Linked DNA regions of Rhinolophus ferrumequinum. The protein of the gene in region 1 interacts with the protein of each later gene in a pairwise test. Links are inferred from orthologs where the notes say so. Each region holds a gene or a part of one and is shown on either strand. Other genes may lie near its edges.

What was found. The genes of interacting proteins can lie anywhere in the genome.
Region 2: the proteins of CPSF7 (region 1) and SNRNP25 interact in binary tests that used the Homo sapiens proteins (3 or more experiments, as listed by UniProt). The two-hybrid records come from large-scale screens. The link is inferred for Rhinolophus ferrumequinum from reciprocal best matches to the Homo sapiens genes CPSF7 and SNRNP25.

The regions. Positions count from the first base shown.
Region 1 is NC_046294.1:9,493,911-9,503,623, reverse strand, and holds the start of CPSF7 (cleavage and polyadenylation specificity factor subunit 7), read right to left. Parts: upstream 5,169-9,713; 5' UTR 5,045-5,168; exon of another isoform or gene 4,933-5,044; intron 4,844-4,932; coding exon of another isoform or gene 4,662-4,843; intron 4,660-4,661; coding exon of another isoform or gene 4,533-4,659; intron 4,532-4,532; coding exon of another isoform or gene 4,496-4,531; exon of another isoform or gene 4,460-4,495; intron 4,442-4,459; 5' UTR 4,387-4,441; coding exon 4,333-4,386; intron 1-4,332.
Region 2 is NW_022680357.1:2,143,860-2,153,572, reverse strand, and holds SNRNP25 (U11/U12 small nuclear ribonucleoprotein 25 kDa protein), read right to left. Parts: upstream 4,789-9,713; 5' UTR 4,595-4,788; coding exon 4,553-4,594; intron 3,758-4,552; coding exon 3,667-3,757; intron 3,429-3,666; coding exon 3,323-3,428; intron 2,794-3,322; coding exon 2,719-2,793; intron 2,273-2,718; coding exon 2,215-2,272; 3' UTR 1,785-2,214; downstream 1-1,784. Other genes in the region: RHBDF1 (inactive rhomboid protein 1), read left to right, coding at 1-37, 108-208, 319-472, 611-1,030; POLR3K (DNA-directed RNA polymerase III subunit RPC10), read left to right, coding at 5,009-5,119, 6,823-6,910, 8,174-8,301.

The DNA.
Region 1 (9,713 bases):
AGAGTAAACGTTTTAGGGGTAACAAAATCAAGAAAAGGAATCAGTGAGGCAAATAAGCACAGGGACACTGGTCTAGGTAGGCAAATATATAAATAAGGGTATTGCACAAAAATGGGTGTGTGTGTGTGTGTGAAGAACAGGGAGAGAAGCTAACATTGCAGAGCGCAGGGTAGCTAATAAATTGAATAAGGTGAAGACAGCTAGGGTTAGTAACTTGACATTTTGTGTGTAAAATTTCATAGCCCTAACATTTCAAACAACCCCAATTCTAGATAAATCACTTATTTATTTATTTGTGTACTAGCTATGGTGATTTGCCCTCGTGGTTCAAGGTAGAGAAACAGCTTAGAAACCACTTGATCCTCTCCAATGCTTTAATCCTACTTCACACCAAGTGTTTTGTTTGTTTGTTTTTTAAATCAAGGATTTTGAAGTGAAACTTAAAGGGAATAAAGAAACACACCACCTTGGATAGTCAGTGGAACCAAATTGGGATTCCTTCTATGCAGTATCAGCGATTCAGAGATGTGTGTCTATAAGTTGTACAAAAATTACCATTGATAATTGGGTAATGAACTAACACGCAAATTTGCACAGTTCAGCGAACAAATACTAGCAGCAGGAAATCCCCCACACCGTAAGCCTAGAGGAACAATTGGCTTCTTCAGGGTACCTTAGAAAATGACAGACTCAATCCTGGAAGACTCTGTTGTATGGATTACCTTATCATTTTAAGAAACACAAAAGGATTCAATGAGTTCAAAACTGTCACAAGATTCAAACCGTTTCTCTGGGCCATAGAACCTCAGTTCATAGTCCTTGGTGGGAACTGTTCTGATACACAAGGGGAGGCCTGCTGAGGACTCTATTGAAGAAACAACGTATCAAGTTGTGTTTGGATTTAAATCTGCTAGCAACAACAATTCATTTTACTTCTTCAGCTGGTAAAACAGAAAAACAGATAAGGGCCTGAGGTTTCTCTGATTAACCAAATAAGCTGGTGATTTATGCAGTGATGGATTAGTTTAAAGCACAACCTAATTCTATACATTAAGTGAATAATAGAATGTTTTACATGCATTGTAGATTACACTCCAGGAAGATTAAAAAGGAAGTATGTATTTAATACTGTATGAATATCTCAGGAAGAATTTTGTGTTTAGTAGTACAGGGAGAACTGTGATTCTCTTATGAAACTTCTTGGTTAACAAAAAAGAACTTGCAGAATTTTAAATTTACGTAAGAACTTCCTCACCTGTATGCTCAATGGTCCCACATTCCAACCCCCTTTCCCTGATATCTGAGGGGAGTAATAAAGCCTAGGATTTACTTTTCTCAAAGCAACCTACTTGATACCATTGTCTTAACTGTAACCAAAGCTAACAATTTTTGGCTTTATAATCACCATTTCCACAATTGTCAGCTAACATTCTCCTTTCCTGTCACTGTTCATTGCCCTCAACCACCAGGAACACCACGTCTTTTGAGCACAGGGATTCCCGTTTGGTTTTTTTACTTCCCTTTTACCTCACTAGTTCCAACATGGTGCCTAGCTAACAAAGGTAGCTCAACAAACGTTTGTTGATGGAAGTAAGAAAGAGAACTGAGCATACTGTGCAAAGCGCCTGCCTGTCTTCATATAAGGAACAGAGACAAAACACTCAGGAGAAAGGCAGCTCTGTTATTTTCCAGAGTTTTCCCCAGCCCATGAGAGCAGCTGCGAGTCTCAAGACTCCCTATGCCGCAGGAGTGAAGTAGCTGTGCAAAAGAGGCTTTTGCAGCACATGCTGGAAGAGATCAGGGAGTCAGTACCATAGGGTCCCATCTAGGAACTGTGTTCATTTTCCCTGGGGAGCAAAGTACATGTGACAGAGTTTTTGTGCATGGGTCAGCTTGGGGTGAATCAATAACATTCTTAAAACATTCTGAAACACTATCCGCACTGGTCGCCTTCAGTCTAAGTCTGCTTCTAACAATCCTAGCCAGACAAGAGTTTTTATTTCTTTAGCAGCCTCCAAATTACATTAAAACCAGCTTTGCCAAAAATTAACTTATTTATGGGAGAAAAAAACACCCCACCTCGACCATCCACAAGACATGACATTCAAAATCGACGCTTTCTTCAAGCTGCCAAGCATCAAATATTGTTTGGTATACACATCCACTAGTTCTCTCACACCATCTTTGGCCTCCCTTTAGAAAGTCCGTTTTAACAAAAGTGACCAGAGAACACGAACTGTTGAGGCCAATGACTTCTACTGACACAGCAGGGACCACGGGACGAGGCCTGTGTCTTGTCGATGCTAGAGAAGTTATGAAATCTCATTTTCTCAGACCAAATGTAGCTATTCCTGTGGTTAAGGGCTTTGTTCTGCCCATTTCCCCATGGACATAGCAGCACAGTTATCAACCAACGGAAGAGAGCCAACTCCACTCTGACTCCTCCATAAAGGAGCCTTCCTCTTTCCTCGATATCTTGTATTTAAAAAACGAACCATAACTTGTTAAAAGTAGTATAAGTTTGATTCAAAGTAACCGAGGAAAGCAATGGTTTGTAACTAATATATTAAACCTTTCTTTTTATCCGTAAGTGATTATTTGACTTGTATGAAATTAAAAATAAAAAAATTTCCTATTTTTAAACCAATCAGCAGCCACATGTAGGTGACTCCAGTTTACCTGAAGAGACATGGGAAAATGACTATTAAAAAGTATAACTGGTGGGGCCGGCCCGGTGGCTCAGGCGGTTGGAGCTCCATGCTCCTAATTCCGAAGGCTGCCGGTTCGATTCCCACATGGGCCAGTAGGCTCTCAACCACAAGGTTGCTGGTTTGACTCCCGCAGGGGATGGTGGGCAGCGCCCCCGGCGACTAGAAACAGCAGCTGAACCTGGGGCTGCGCTGCACCCTCCACAACTAAGACTGAAAAGACGACAACTTGAAGCAGAACGGCACCCTCCACAACTAAGATTGAAAGGACAACAACTTGACTTGGAAAAAAGTCCTGGAAGTACATACTGTTCCCCAATAAAGTCCTGTTCCCCTTCCCCAATTGAAAAAAAAAAAAACTTAAAAAAGTATAACTGGTGAAGCTGTATATAATGGGTACAAGGTCTTGACACTACTCTATTATCATGTGTTTTAAAAATTCCATGTTAAAAAGGCATAACGTATTAAAAATCTTTTTTAACGTAAACTTATGCCAAGTGAAAAAAATTACATGTATTTCAACCTCCTCTGTTGCCTCAGATTAAAGTCAGGGTCCAAACAGTGCTCTTTTCTCCTTTATTCTTTTTATCCTTTTTGCAGGCCCTTATGGGTACCCCATAAAAGATGCCAATGGGAAAAACCAGCTTACTCAAGTAGAACAGTGTTGAAAACAATCCAGGCAAGATATTAATCAGTTTAAATAGAAACTTTGAAATATTCTTGAGATTTGACCTCAAGAGCTCAGAATCGAACTGTATATGAGATTATTGTTTCAAGGGAAATCACTGTATAATATTCCTTGACATAACACAAAGGGACCAACAAATCCATCTCAGGGTATGTGAGTGGGTCTGTCCCTGCTTTTTTTTTTTAAAGGAGGGTGCAGCTCACAGTGGCCCATGTGGGGATTGAACCAGCAACCTTGGTGTTAGTAGCACCACGCTCTAACCAACTGAGCTAACCAGCTACCCCTATACCTGCTTTTTAACTGGTTTGTCCAAAACCTTTACTTCTCCCCACAACACCCAATTAGATTCATCAATAAAATGTATTAAACCAAAATGCCTATGGGCTTGAGACTGGACTTAAGCTACTTATCAAAGGAAAATGCAAAACAATTGTAATGGAGCTAAAATTAAACGTTAAAGTATCTTTTACAGTGTGACTTCGCACTATCTTATGGGAGAGGGGACTGACTACATTTTTCCAGCCGCAGTTTGACAGAATCACAAAGCAACAGGTATCAACCTTGTCTTCATGAAAACCACAGCAAACGTATTTCTGATTTTTAAGTGGTTAGTTTTTGAGGAGACAAACATCCAACTCTGGCTTCCTGGGGCAGCAAGTTCCACAGGTTGATTCACCATTCTATTAAACCTGATTTTTATTTGCTCTTAAATGAAAGCCTTTAAAATTAAGCCTGGAGGCTTATAGTAACATAAAGCGGAATGGTCAGAAGTCTTGAAAATCTGTACTAGAGGAACAATTTTAGACCCGATGAGGCGTGTTCAGGCCTAGCAAATCCTCAAGGGCTAGCTAGCATAGCTTGGAGCCACTGCAAGTATGCTGGAAGTGATTCCTTGGCTGATCCTGGAAAACCCCAATACTCCCGATGACCCCTCACCTGATTGAACTCCTCGTCGGCATATATATCAATCAAGTCCACTCCTTCTGACATGGCTCCGGAAGGCAGATCGCGGGCCCGGAGAACGGACAAAGTAAGAAAGATGCCACTGCGGAGAGGCAAGAGTTAGATGGCATGAAGGTCCCGGGTTGGAAGGAGGGCAATGGTCGCCAACCTCCCGTCTCCAGAGACGCAGCCTCCCCGGCAGCCCAAGCTCTGCCCCACCCGCTCCGCCCCGCCCCCGGCCTCGCGCCGCCCCTCGCGCTCCCAGGCCGCCGGGGCTCGCGGGGCTCGCTGCCCATCACCCTCGGGCCCGACCCGAGCTACGCCGCTGGGGCCGTGGCGCGACGGGGAACCCCAGGCCTCTGCACCTAGGGGCCCTCGCACAGCGCCGTTAAGAACGCCCGAGGCGAAGCCCGCAGCCCCAGCCCAACGCACCTGCCTAGGCCCCGGGGCGGCCCCGGCTAGAATCCCCGCGAGTCCCGGAGATCCTGTTCCACATCCAAGCCCAGTCCTCGCCCCCAGCTAGGCCCGCCCCGCTCCCTCCCCACAGACCCGGCCCAGCGCCCTCGGCCCCCTCCCACAAAGGCCCGCGCCAACCTCCGCCCGCCGACTCCGGCTGCCCCAAACTCAACCGACCCCCTCCCCGCCTCAGCGCCGGCCCCGAGCCCTCTTCCGGCCCAGCCGGCCCCCGGCCGCGCGCCCCCGTTACCGGGAATATGGCGGCGGAGGCGGCGAGTCCGAACTAGGCCCGAAGCGCGCGAACCGCTCTCGGCCCCCCAGGTCCCGCCTTCCCCCCTACCCCGCCACTGGCGTCACACGCAAAGCCACTTCCGCCCTACGCAGGCACGCATCTTCCGGCTTAGGGCGAATCTTCCGCAGGGTCGGCGTCCGGGAGGTCCCGGAAGTGGCTGGGCCGCAGGCTTCCGGTACAGGTCAGGAAAAATGGCAGTGGCCATCGTATTCCCGGCTCTGGCACGGGTGAGAATGCATGTCGTAGGGTCCTGGGCGGGCCACAGTGGGAACTGAGTCTCTTCTTCTTCCGCAGTCCTGGAGACCGCGAGGAGAGGTCCAACTGCCTGACAGCCTAAGGCAAGGACAGACCCAAGGAGAGGTCGAGCTTGCAAATTAGGAGATTCAAGTCGCTGTCACCCTTTTCCGGAACCCACTAGCTGCCTGTATTGTGGTATCGTGGAACGATCAGTCTTCCTGTAAGACCCAATACGGATTTCACCTGTTTCCCGGGTGAAGCTGGCCCCACCGCCTCTGGGCGCCTCTTCTGTCTGATTTTAAGTCAGCTTCCTCTTAAATCTTCTCTAATACCTATCGTGAGTTCACATCGCATCATAAGATCTTTCTTTCTTTTCCTTTTTTCTTAAATGTAGGTGTTTACCACTGTAAACTTTTCTTACTATTGCTTTTTGCTGCTTCTCATGCTATTTTGCATGTTGTGTCTATTGTCTCAAGATATTTTCTAATTTCCCTTTTGATTTCTTCTTTGGTTCATTTGAACCATTGGTTGTTTGAGAGCGTGTTGTTTTATTTTCACATATTTGTGAATTTTCCAATTTGCCTTCTGCTGTTGATTTCTAGTTTTCATTCCGTTGTAGTCAGAAAAGATCTCATACAATTTCAATATTCTTAAACTTGTTTTATAACCTAACGTGATCTATCCTGGAGGATGTTCACAGTGTGCTTGAGAATAATGTATATTCTCGCTGCTGTTGGGTGGAATGTTCTGTATATATCTGTTTGGTTCATTGGATCTGTAGTGTTGTTCAAGTTCTCTATTTACTTACTGATCTTCTGTCTGGATGTTCTATCCATTATTGAAAGTGGGGCATTGAAATCTATTATTGTGTTGCTATTTCTTTCTTCAGTTCTGTCAGTGTTTGCTTCATATATTTGGGTGCTCTGATATTGGTTACATGTATATTTATAATTGTTATATCTTCCTGGTGGATTGACCCTTTTATTATTACATAATATCCTTCTTTATCTCTTGTAACAGTTTTTGATTGAAAGCCTGATATGAGTAGAGGCCTCTGCTCACTTTTGGTTACCATTTGCATGGAATATCTTTTTTTCATTCTTTCACTTTCAACTTATGTGTTGCCTTACATCTCAAGTGAGTCTCTTTTAACAGCATATACTTGAGTCTTGTTTTTTTTGTTGTTTGTTTTTTTGTTTTTTTTTTTTGTCTATTGAGTCACTCTCTATTTTGGTTGGGGAGTTTAATATATTTACATTTAAAATAATTACTGGTAGGAAAGGACTTACTGTTGCCATTTTGTTAAATATTTCCTTCATGTCTTGGAGCCTGTGTCCCTCTTTTCCTCCCTTGATATCATCTTTGGTGTTTCGTTGATTTTTTTTTTTTTTTTTGGTAGAAGCATACTTTGATTCCTTTCTGACTTTCTATTGTGTATCTTGTATAGGTATTTCCTTTGTGGTTACTGTGGGGCTTACATACAACATAATAACTATTTTAAGCTGATAACAGTTTAACTTCAATCTCATACAAAAACTCTGCTCTTTTACTCCTTCTCACTTTATGTTATTGATGTCACAATTGCATATTTTTATATTGTGTATCCATTAACATATTTTATAGGTCTTTAAAAAAAGTCTTTGTGTTTTAACTTCTATACCAGAATTAAAAGTGATTTATGCACCATTGTTACAATATTACGATATTCTGTATTTGTCATATTTACCTTTACCAGTGAGCTTTATGCTTTTATATGCTTTTGTGTTACTGTCTAATATGCTTTAGGTCCTTTGGGCTTCTTGAATTTTAATGTCCATTCATTTCCCTGGATTTGGGAAGTTTTGGTCCATTATTTCTTCAAATGAGCTTTCTGCTCCTTTCTCTCTCTTCTTCTGGGACTCCCATAATGTGTGTAGTGTACGCTTGATGATGTCCCATAAGTCTCTTGGGTGTATTCACTGTTTTTCATTATTTTTTCTTTTCTTTCTTCTGATGGGTAATTTCAAATGACTTGTCTTAGAGTTCACTCATTCTTTCTTCTGCTTGATCAAGTCTGCTGTTTAACCCCGATAGTGAATTTTTAAATTCAGTTATTGTATCCTTCAGTTCTACATTTTCCATTGGGTTCTTTTTAATATTTATCTTTATTGATATTTTCATTTTGTTCATGCATTGTTTTTCTGACCTCATTGAACATCTTGATGGCAGTTATTTTGAATTCTTTGTCAGGTAATTCATATACCTCTGTTTCTTTAGGGTCGATTTCTGGAGATTTGTTTTGTTCCTTTGATTAGGCCATGTTTCCTTGTTTCTTTGTGTCCTGTACAATTTTTTGTTGGGATCCACGCATTTGATAAAACAGCCAACTCTCCTAGTTTTTTTGGACTGGCTTTATTCAAAGAAAGACCATCACCAGGCAGCCCTGCTAGAGATTCTGGGGGCTTCCCAATACTTTCGAGTAGATATGTCTTCTCTGGATTTGTGCATGTCAATTCCTAATTAGAGGAATTTGCTGGCTTCTTTTGTCGGGAGCTCATAAGTTCTTACTCCTTCTGGTGTCTGTACTACTGCAGGTTCTCAAGGTGCCACAAGCCTTCCAGCTCTGTTCTCAGCCCCCAGGCTTCTATAGTGTCCCGAGTATATTGTTGTGGAGTTGGTGTCTCTGTGGGTGAAGGAGAATGTGGTGCTTCCTGCTCTGTCATCTTGCTTATATCACCACCTTCTCATCACATCTTGATAGTTTTTGACTTTCTCTAGGAGTCCTTGGGGGATTAGGATCCATGCCATCACTGTATGCTCAGATTTTGACACAGGCTAGTGACTAGAATACAAACCATACTGTAAAAATTTTAAGGGACTGCAAAGGAAAGAGAAAATATTTCTGCTGGATAATTTCTGGAAGGGCACTGATTAAGAACACGTTTGTAATTATAGCTCGGTTTCGATCCTAACTGCAGTTACTATTTGGATGACAAGTTTTTTAACTTCCCTGAGCTTCAACTTCCTAAACTGTAGGGTGGAGTCAGTATCAGCATAAGTTCTTACAGACTAAATGAGATTGAATGTATTTAGCATCTAATGTGTTGAGTGAATGACAAATGTTATTTGTTGTTGTTAAAAAGATGTTTGTGCTTTGTTTCAGATGCTTGCTCTGTCCAGGCGCCACCCAGTGTCTCCTTTGCTCAGCATGACATCATTCAGACACTTCTGCAGAGGTGACAGCCCAACAGATTCCCAAAAAGATATGATTGAAATCCCTTTGCCTCCATGGCAGGAGCGAACTGATGAATCCATAGAAACCAAAAGAGCCCGCCTGCTCTATGAGAGCAGAAAGAGGGGAATGCTGGAAAACTGCATTCTGCTTAGGTAGGGGACAGGGGTGTTGGTGTCACTTCTCTTTGACTAGAGACAGCATTTCAACTTCTTTCTCTTTCTTGTTTTTAGCCTCTTTGCTAAAGAATATCTGCACCACATGACAGAGAAACAGCTGAACCTCTACGATCGCCTGATTAATGAGCCTAGCAATGACTGGGATATTTACTACTGGGCTACAGGTACTGGGCATGATAAGCAGCATAATGGGAAAAGTAGGATGACTTGGGCCTATTTTGAGTCTAAAATTATATTCTAGGCAATTTTTTTCTTTTATTAATACAATAGACCCTTAACCCAAACACTCATCAAATTTTTACAAAGTGTGCAAAATTTGTTTTATTAAGGTTCTTTGTTTGCAAGCAAGAGAAACCTATTCTGTGTAACTTGAGCAAAAAGGGAATTTACTGAAATTGTACGGGAAGCTCACAGTCTCGGAGAGAAGGTTGAAGAAAAACTAGGCTGGGAATAGAGTGGAACCCGTTATAGACAGCTCTATAGTCTGCAGAGCAAGAGTTCTTCAGTAGTCTCATTCTGACACTGCCTTTGAGGAATGAATATTCACTGTGTATAGTTAGCATTAGCTTTGGCTGTGAGTAACAAAAAAATCTAAGACAATAATGGCTTAAGCAAGACAAAACTGTATTTCTCTTTCTCATAATAGAAGTCCAGGGTAGGCATATAGAGGGGTTTCAAAAACCTTGCTGCTCCTTCATCCTCAGCATGTGTCGTCCAACTCCTGGTCCAAGATGTCTGCTAAAGCCCCATCTGCCATATCCATATTTCAGCCAAGAAAAAAGTGTATAGAAAAGCACACCCTATTCTTTATGGATCCTTCTCAGGAAGTTAAACATCATACTTCCACTCATTTCCCACTAGCTACGGTTTAGTCACATGGCTACACCTCACCATAAAGAAGAAATAATATAGTCTATTCTAGGTGTCTAAATTGAAGATTCTGTTATTAAGGAAAAATGAGAGAATGGATAGTAGGGGATAGCTCATTATTTCTGTCACA
Region 2 (9,713 bases), on another chromosome or scaffold:
GGGTTATTTCCATGAGGAGGCCACACTCTGCTCTCAGGTAGGCCTCCAGGCTGAGCGCCCTCCCTGTCCCCCCGCCTCGGAGGGTGCTGACAGGCCACTCTGCACAGGTGCACTGCATGGATGACGTGTGCGGGCTTCTGCCCTTCCTCAATCCCGAGGTGCCCGACCAGTTCTACCGCCTGTGGCTGTCCCTCTTCTTACACGCTGGGCAAGTGACACCCTCAGTGCTGAGCAGGGATGGGTGGGCAGGGGTCTCAGGGCCCCCGGGAGTGGCGGGCCACGGGTGGCCGTCCCTGCTGAGGCCCCTCCACCCCACAGCATCCTGCACTGCCTGGTGTCCGTCTGCTTCCAGATGACCGTCCTGCGGGACCTGGAGAAGCTGGCGGGCTGGCACCGAATCGCCATCATTTACCTGCTGAGTGGCGTCACCGGGAACCTAGCCAGTGCCATTTTCCTGCCGTACCGGGCAGAGGTGAGGATGGGTGCCAGCCTGGGAGCGTGTCCCCTCGGGCCCTTGATCCTGCTGTGCTCCAGGCCACGGGAGGCGGGATGAGGGGACGAGGCTGTGGGTCCGGGGGTCCCACTCGGCCCGCACTGCCTGTCCCCCCAGGTGGGCCCGGCCGGCTCGCAGTTCGGCATCCTGGCGTGCCTCTTCGTGGAGCTCTTCCAGAGCTGGCAGATCCTGGCCCGGCCCTGGCGCGCCTTCTTCAAGCTGCTGGCGGTGGTGCTCTTCCTGTTCACATTTGGGCTGCTGCCCTGGATCGACAACTTCGCCCACATCTCGGGCTTCGTCAGCGGCCTCTTCCTGTCCTTCGCCTTCTTGCCCTACGTCAGCTTCGGCAGGTTCGACCTGTACCGCAAGCGCTGCCAGATCCTCATCTTCCAGGCCGTGTTCCTGGGCCTGCTGGCCGGCCTGGTGGTCCTCTTCTACTTCTACCCCGTGCGCTGTGAGTGGTGTGAGTTCCTCACCTGCATCCCCTTCACCGACAAGTTCTGCGAGAAGTACGAGCTGGACGCCCAGCTCCACTGAGCTGCTGGCCACTGGGGCCACCTGCTCCCGGGCGCCGTCCACCCCGAGCCTTGCAGGCCACGGACGGGGCTGCCTGAGCCCCGTGTGGGGTTCTCAGGCCACGGACGGGGCTGCCTGAGCCCCGTGTGGGGTCCGTAGGCCACGGACAGGGCTGCCTGAGCCCTGTGTGGGGTCCGCCCGCGTCTTGGACACAGACCTCTTGTGCCTTGTTCACTGCTGTTGACCCTCTCGTACTTCTGGGCATTTATTACACTAGTTCCCGTGATTCCCTTCTAACTAGTCTCTTGACGACCACCTCAGGTGGCCAATAAATGGACTGGGAGCGTTTTAGCTGCCACTAACTTGACCAGAGCTGCCTTCTGCTTTCTCGTTCCTGGCTGGGGGCTGTGGCGGGACGTTCCTCTCACTCACAATTCCCCAGACAAGGAACGAAGTATACAAAACACCTCCCAGGGAAGTCCCTCAGCCAGGTTGCACCCCCTGCCCCCAGCTCCCTTCCTAGTTACCGGTAGCCACAATGGGATACAGACCCAGGGATGTGCTGTCATTTCTCCCCCCCACACACACTGAGAAGCGCCCTCCCTGCTCAGCCAGCAGTTCCAGCTGCTGCCCCAGGCCCCTCCATTTCCGGGAGCCAGGGGATGGCACCGCTGTACAGTCCTGCGGGCCAAGGCGGGAGGCCCTGCCGACGGCTGTGCTCTCACACACAGGCCCGTTTGTTTCTGCACAAGTAGAAGAGAAAGCCAGCTGCGTGTGGGGGACACACATTTATTTCCTCCTGGCCGTGGGGGACACAGTAATGGTCAGGTGGCCTCCGCAGCCCTCAGGACGCACCGGCCCCATTCTCTGCCCTTGCCTCCTGGGATGCCGCAGTGCCCGTCCCTCCTGCCGGGACCGTGGCTTGTGGACTTTTCCAGGTCAGAAGCAGAGAGGTTTATGCTGTACTCAGGGCCTGGCCCACAGCCCTGTGGCATCTGCCACGAGATGAGGGTGTTTGGGCTCAGGGAGGGGTCAAGCTCAGGTCACGAGCACTGGCTCGTCAGGTCCTAGTCCTGAGGGCCCAGGCTTCAGACAAGTCCACCTGTGCTCACTTTGACATTCTCCTGTGACAAGGGGACAGTGGCCCGAAGCTGCTTCCTGCTGGGCAGAGCTTGTCACCGGCACAGTTGTCCTCGTCCAGGGGTTCATTTTTGCCTCAGCTTTTTGATGAAAGACACCTCGTCCCGATTCCGGATACCATAACTGAAAGAGAAGGAAAGGTGTCAAGTGTCTGATCTCCAGAAGGGTACATCCAGGACTCCTCACCTGAGGCTGGTGAAAAACCAAGAAAGAACAGGTGGGAAGAGTGTGGCATCCAGGAGGGGGCAGTGGCCACACGTACCAGGGGGCAGCCTTTCACCTCCATGCACTCTTTCTCCCCTCTTCTGCCTCTGTGCTGCCCTGAACTGCCACTGGTGAGAAGCAGTAGGGCCCCTCACCCCTCTCCTCCACCCGCATTCTCCTCGTGGGGGCCCCCAGCGGGAGGCGTCAGCACAGCCAGGGTCCTCTGTAGGTCTCACAGAGTCCTCAGGAACTGACTGAGGATCCCTCCTTCCTGGGAGGGGGCCCCAGCCGTCTGGCAGAGCATGTGTAACCAGACGGCACCGCCCAAATGCCTGCCTGTAGCTCAACATGTGGCCTGGACTTACTCTCGGAGCTTCTTCCTGTCCTCTGTGAGCTTCTCTCCTGCAGAGGTCAGATGGTACGTTCTCCACACGTAGGGCCTGCAAGGTAGGGTTTCAGGTAAACCGTGAGCAGGGTGAGTGGAGCAGCTGGGATGCAGACGCTGTGACTGAGAGCGGCTCACGGTGCTCAGCTCTGTGGGCCCGGGGCAGCCGGCCGCCTCTTCTGGGCTGTTTCCTGTACACTGTGCACTGTGCCTGAGGCGGCTACAAGGAGGCCCGGCTCTATGAGGGCCGTGTGGGCCATGCAAGGGAGGAGAAGAACATCCAGGAGAAGTCCTGGATGTACCGTCTGTAACTAGGAGACCACTTCTGGACACATCACACATGCCCTAAGGTGTCCCTAAGTACAGATACCAGCTGCCTAGGTGGGGTGATGCAGATGAAAGAGCAGGTGATGCAGGACTCCCAGGCACAGAAGCACCTGCCCTGTCTGAAAGCTCCGGGCAGGGAGCGCATCACTTTAGTCAGTACTTTGTAACAGGGCTCAGTGACTAAAAAGCACACGGAGTCCTGTGGAGTCCCAGTCCAGCTCCCAGGAGGGGATGCAAAGAGCCTTGGCGCCACTTACCAGCTGATGTGTTGAATGCCGCCTTCCCGCTCCTGCCTGAGCTGCACGTATCTCTGGATGGCTTTCTTCAGGTCCAGGACTGTGGCATTCTGTACCACGACCACAGCTGCAACCAGGGACACAAAAGGGAGAAGATCCATGGTGGGAAGCCCCAGCCACAGCCTCAGGTGGGGGGAGAGGAACCCAGAAGCCCTGTCAAGCCTTGTTTCTGACCGAGGCTCAAATCTGGGTGGGTGGGCTTGTGGTTGCCCCAACACCCATGGGCATGGCCCCTGAGTGTCCCACTGACCAGCCCCTGTGAAAGCTCAGATTGCACGGCCTGAAGGGAGGAGGGCAGCACTTACGCATGACTTCTCCATCCATCTTGCACACTCGGACTGTCATTGCTTGGCCATACTCTAGGGCTATTTGGGAATTGACCTCTTCCAAAGTAACCTAGAAAAGACCAAGGGGGGAGGTGGGAGCCCTGGCTTTACCACCCCAAAACGACAACAAAGAAAAACAAGGTGGTACTGTCCAAAGAGTGGTGCAACGTTATATGAAAGATGAGAAAGGGAAAGGGTTCTTACTTATATATCAGGGTTTCCCAGTCCAGCACCTCAATCTCATGTGCCACCCACATTTCCCATTTAAAGTCCAAAGCGGACAGAGGCTCTGGAGAAAGGAGCACAGGAACAGGCAAGAAGGATGGATCCTTTCATCCAGGGGCTGGGTAGGAAGAAGAACCCTGGGCCTGCCCGTGCGTTCTGGGAGCCTCTGATCACCAGGATCCAAGCCCGGGCCTCTGGAGAAGGTTGAGGCACGTGTGCGATGATACACGTTGCCAATACAACTTTTAAGAAAATACAAGTTAACTTGAAAACTCCATGATGGACCAAAGAATACTGAAGCTTGAGAAGGGAAAAAACCGGCACTAACGATCTCGTCCTTCTTTTGTTGGCGATAGGTTTTACACCAACTTTGTGTTATGAACGTATTAAAATATTATTTTATTTATTTATTTATTTATTTATTGATTGATTTATTTATTTTGGCGCTTCTTTAATTTCCGCGCCCCACGGGAGAGCCCCGCTCGCCCCGCCCCAGGCTCGGCCCTGGTTAAGACCCTCATTTACGCCCAGAGGTGCCTTCCTGAGGCCTTTGGGCCACAGCCCCCATCAGCACCGCGCGGGATCCACACCCGACGAACGTCCCGGCGGGGCACGACGCCTGCACCCTGCCCGCGCGCACCTGGATCGGGAGATCGCAGAGCAGTGGGTCCTGCACCACCATGGCGAGACCCTCCTGGAACACGTCCACCGCCTCGGAGTGCGGCAGCGCCTCCTCTTCGTCCTCATCGTCGTCCTGCGCCTCGGGCTGTGCCGCCGCCTCCGCCGCCTCCAGGGCGCCTCGCTGCCGAGCGCGCTCCGCCCGCACCGTCCGTCTGCAAGACCGAGGCGCGGCGCTTTCGCCCGCGGAGCAAAACCCGCAGTCAGTTCCGACATTAGGGCGTCGATTGGCTGCCGCGAGGACCAATGAGAAGTGCGAGATGGCCTGCCGCGGTGCTCGCTGGGAGCGCGACATCGGCGTGTCTATTGGTGGGCTAAGGTGGCCAGGACCAATAGGAGCTCGAGGCGGGCGGGCATAGTGTCGGCTCCTGGGCGGCCGCGGGGGCTGCCGGGAGCCTGCGGGGCTGAGTCCGCCGTCATGCTGCTTTTCTGCCCCGGCTGCGGGAACGGGCTGATCGTGGAGGAGGGACAGCGCTGCCACCGTTTCGCCTGCAACACCTGCCCCTACGTGCACAACATCACCCGCAAGGTGGGTCCTGGAGCCCGGCGTCGGGCCCCCGCAGGCCTCCCGCTTCCTCCGGCTGTGCTCCACCCCTGTCAGGACGCAAGGTGGAGGCCCTGGCCGTGGTCACCGCCGAGGCCACAGCGGTCCTTGTAACGCCGAAGTCAGATCGAGTCCGTCTTGCGCTCGGTAACGCTCAGCAGTTCGCCAGCGTGAAATGTGCTCGCGGGGCAGACCGAGCGTTGACACCACGCCCCTCCCCCCAGCCTTGCTTTTCTGATGTCAGAAAAGGGGCTCTTTTGCCCCAGAAACACCAGCCTCTTGGAGGATCCCCCCTGATGGACGTGGCATTACTAGCAGCGCCTTTGCCCACGTTTCCTGTCCGGTCCAGACTTCCCCTAAGACAGCCGTGCCACTCTTTTGTCACGTCGTCACTTAAATCATCACTCAGTGTAAAATTGCAGCCCTTCCGTTTTATCCTCTTTCCCGGTTTTGGTTTTTCTCTAGGACTCCTTACCTTCTAATAACACGGTATAATTTACTTACGTGCTTTGTTTACCGAAGCCGAGACCTAAGCTGTAGGAGGGCAGGGCTCTTTCTGTTTTGTTCCCTCTTGTGTGCTAGTCGGAACGCCGAGGATGGAACTGAGGATGTGGAGGTGTTCACTGCGGTGAATTGTGCTCACGGTGTTAGGACTCGGTATTTTCCCCTTGATCTTTTGTGGGGACAGAGCCCCAAAAAGCAGTTTCCAGGCTCTCGGCCTCACATAGCAAGGTGCTGGCTCAGGTAGTAAATGGCCATCGACTGATCAAATGGCCATCAGCTGTGGCTAGTTGGCCGTCAGCTGTAACCAGTGAGCCATTGGGCACTAATATAACTGCCGTGGCTAGGCTAACAGAAATGGGGGCTAGCGAGAAGATGGTGGCTGAGCCAGCAAGTGGAGCAGTGAGGGTTGAGACTTGTGTTGCTCCTGGTTTCCTGTGTCTCCAACCCAGCCGCCAGTGAGAATATAGTGGTGTGACTCCCCTACCTATGGCTCCGTGGGTGTTCCTTTTTGGCCTCACTATGTCCTGCGTTCTTATGTGGGGAGTGGGACCAGAGACCCCGCCTGACACCCTGCACGACATCTTTACTCTTTAGAAGTAGAGCCCCTTGGGGCCACCCCGTTCTGAGTGTTTGTGTACTGCACCATATTGCTGTGTTGTGGGAGTTTAGAGTCTGGATCTATGAGAAGAGTGAACTCTTACGTAAGCCTGACATTTCAAGGATGTCGGGTAAAACTTGGGAAAGAAACTGAGTGCTTTGAAAGCTCTCTGCCTGCGGGGAGCGGCTGGGCTCCCCAGCTGGTACTCTTTGGCTTCAGGTGTATTTGTTTCTCACATCTTGGGTTAGGCGGTGGTATCTTAGAGATATGGGCGTAGAGGAGGGTCACACCTAAGCCATCGTGTCTTCCTGCTCTGGTGTTTCATTCAATCCTTGCAGAGATCTTCTCTGACGGCTGAATCTCTCTCTTCTCTTGTGGGGGCATCCCAATCGTAGGTTCTTTAAATTCCAGTGGTGCGTCCTGCTCTGTGGTAGCGGGAACACTGTTTTCGTTTAGTCTCCCTGCTGGCTGGGAGGAAGACAGTCTGGGAAGACACTTGAGGGCAGCTGTGGAGGTGTGGTTTGGTGGCCCACGGTTGCACTGTTCACTGACTTGGAGAGTCTGAAGGCTTGCTGTTGTTTGTTAGGTAACAAATCGGAAGTATCCAAAGCTCAAAGAAGTGGATGATGTGCTTGGTGGAGCAGCTGCCTGGGAGAATGTTGACTCTACTGCAGGTAAGAGGGAAAGCCTTCTGTAACTGAGCGGTGGGTAAGTATGAAGCCACTGGCTGCTGCTCCGTGGCAGTCGGTGATGTATTTAGAAAGTGTGTTTGCGCTTTAAGAACTTACTTGTTAACTCCAATGATATTGGCACAAGCCTTGGAGTCGTGCAGTCCTGAGTTAAAGTCTCGGGGTGACTTCTTACTGTTTTATGACCTTGCTGGGGTCCCTGAAGCGCTCCAGGGCTAATCCACACTCATAGGTTGTGAGAGCACCCAAGTGAGTTATAGTGTTTCGCATATAACAGGCAATTCTACAGGCGGTAGCTACGATAGCTACAAGGTCAGGAATAATACAAATCAGAGTCGCGGGAAATAAATGTGGTGGTCTTGTTCTCATGCGGCGTGTTAAACGTTAATACCAGAGAGCACCTAACTGCAGTCTCAGTAAAATAAATGTTTCTTTCAAGTCTTGATTCGTTTCTGATAGACATAGATGTGACCAAGGAAGGGCAGAGCAGAGCCCTAGACAACCTGCGCCGAGGGGAGGAACAGCGAAGTAAGATTAGTGCCATTGCTCTGCCTCTCTGGACCGGTACCCAGATCCGCCACGTGAACAATTTAGCAAAGGCAGAAGTTGTCATTAAAAGCTAAGTTATGCCCCGAATGTCCAAAATGGTGTTTGAGAATTTTTGAAGGTGTTTCCATCAAGAGCAGGGTTAGTGTCGCAAAGTAAAAACCTTTGAAGGTAAATGTGTCCTGGGGTCCTCGGAAAAGGTACGTATGTGTGGTGAGATCTTGATAAAAGCAGCCTGAGGAGCTACTGCCAAATAGACCCCTAAATACTCGGGGAAGCCGATTGGTCAGCCCTTGGCAGCTCCTCTGGGAAGAAGAGAGGGCGTCTCCACGTCCCAGGTGATGGAGATGAATTTGTTAGGGGAAGTCTGCACGGCGTGGGCCCCGTAATTCACACAGCAGCCGTGTTACGTTTCCAACCAGTCTTCTACCAGGTTTGAGAAAAACAGTGAGAAAAAACAGTTTGAGAAAAACAGGGCGGGGAGGAGAGTGTTTCCAAGCTCTCCTGGATTTCCTCAGTGTGAGGGCACATTGGGAACGAGATCACTGTTTATAGCCTTCCATCCGGGGACAAGGGACACCAGGTGAGCGAGGGAGGGGCTTTGCTGCCTTTTATATAACACCTGCTTCTATCAGGTATGCTGGTCGAGGAGCCTCGTGTGTTAAATAACGGGGATACCTTGTTTCTTTCTCTCATTTCCAGAGCCCTGCCCCAAATGCGAACATCCTCGAGCCTATTTTATGCAGCTTCAGACCCGCTCTGCAGACGAGCCCATGACTACCTTCTACAAGTGCTGCAATGCTCAGTGTGGTCACCGCTGGAGGGACTAGGGTGCAGCCGGCCAGCTGCGTCAGTCTGTTCCCTTCTTCCCCACGGGGCCTCCCAGCTGGGAGCGGGCACTGTGTGTCCCGAGGGTCTCTGCTGGTTGGCAGAAAGCTAACCCTTTTCGGGTTGTCGGCCAGGGTGTCAGGAAAGGTAGCCCGTCTGCCAACCAGCGGATGAACTCATTCATGTCCAGGGAGATTTTAAGTGTGGGAAGGAGTTTCCGTAACTAAGTACATTCTGCTTCAGGTCCAGTTCGTTCATCTCCTACATGTATCGGGCAATTGACATCCTCTCACCATGAACCAGCACTCTTCAATATTTACATTGTTTGTGCAACTCAGAAAGTAGAACTTGTTAATTTAGTACATTAGATGTTCCTAAGTATGTCATTGTTAATTGCAAACTTATTTAATGAAAATTTATGCTGAATATTTAATTAAAACGAAAAGTCTAATATTGCCGTCTCAGTGTTTTAAATGCCTTAAATAGGTGCCAGACCCCAAATCATGATTCCAAAATTGACTACTGCACTGAAGACTGAACTAGTTACAAAATTGCTAATGACGTGCATTTAAATTGCTTTTTTTTTTTTTTTTTTTAATCTTTGTCTTTTATTTGGCTGCAATGTTTAAATTTCAGAAGGTATTAAAACAGCCATTCTAAGCATGGCTTATGACACAAAATTTAAATACTACATTATTGGGCACAATTTTTCTTCCTCTTTTCACGTTTAGCTACAAGTCCATACTCAAAGATGGCAAACCAGTTAGGTGTAAGTTACTTTTTACAAGTTAAAATACTTTCAAACAAGAATTTACTCTAGCACTGTGGAACTACTAAACAAATAGTGAAACTGATGACCATTGATAATGGTCAATCCTAAATCAGTGTTTGAACATTGTCATGTACTGTACAGAAACAGGTGGAGTTTTTGCTAGGCAAGGACAGAAGAGCTGACATAGCAGCCAATGACTATTGAATAACCATGAAGCCAAAGTTTTAAAGATGTTAAAATCAAATCTTTAATTATTCTCGTGAACACAAGAAAATTAAGCCATGATTTTCACAATTCCCCCATGTCTGACAGCCAGCCAGGCATAGCATATCAGATCATAAGGCAGTGTGAGGGAAATAAAGTGTAAAAAAATTCATTTTGTCTCTTGGAGCTTACCATCCAACAGAGTAAGAACTTCTTATACTAGCCACTGTAGCTATAGGTGATTAGGGAAGGTTTCATGGAGACAGTGAAGATAAAGCTCCAGTAACTAAGGAATAGATTTTAATGACAGAAATGAGGACATTCTAACTAAAGGTACAAATAAGTGATCCAAAAATTATGAGGAAAGCAAGCTCCGTTGATGGGTTACATCAGCGATTCTTAACCTATAGACCACGAATAGGCTTCAAGGGAATCCAA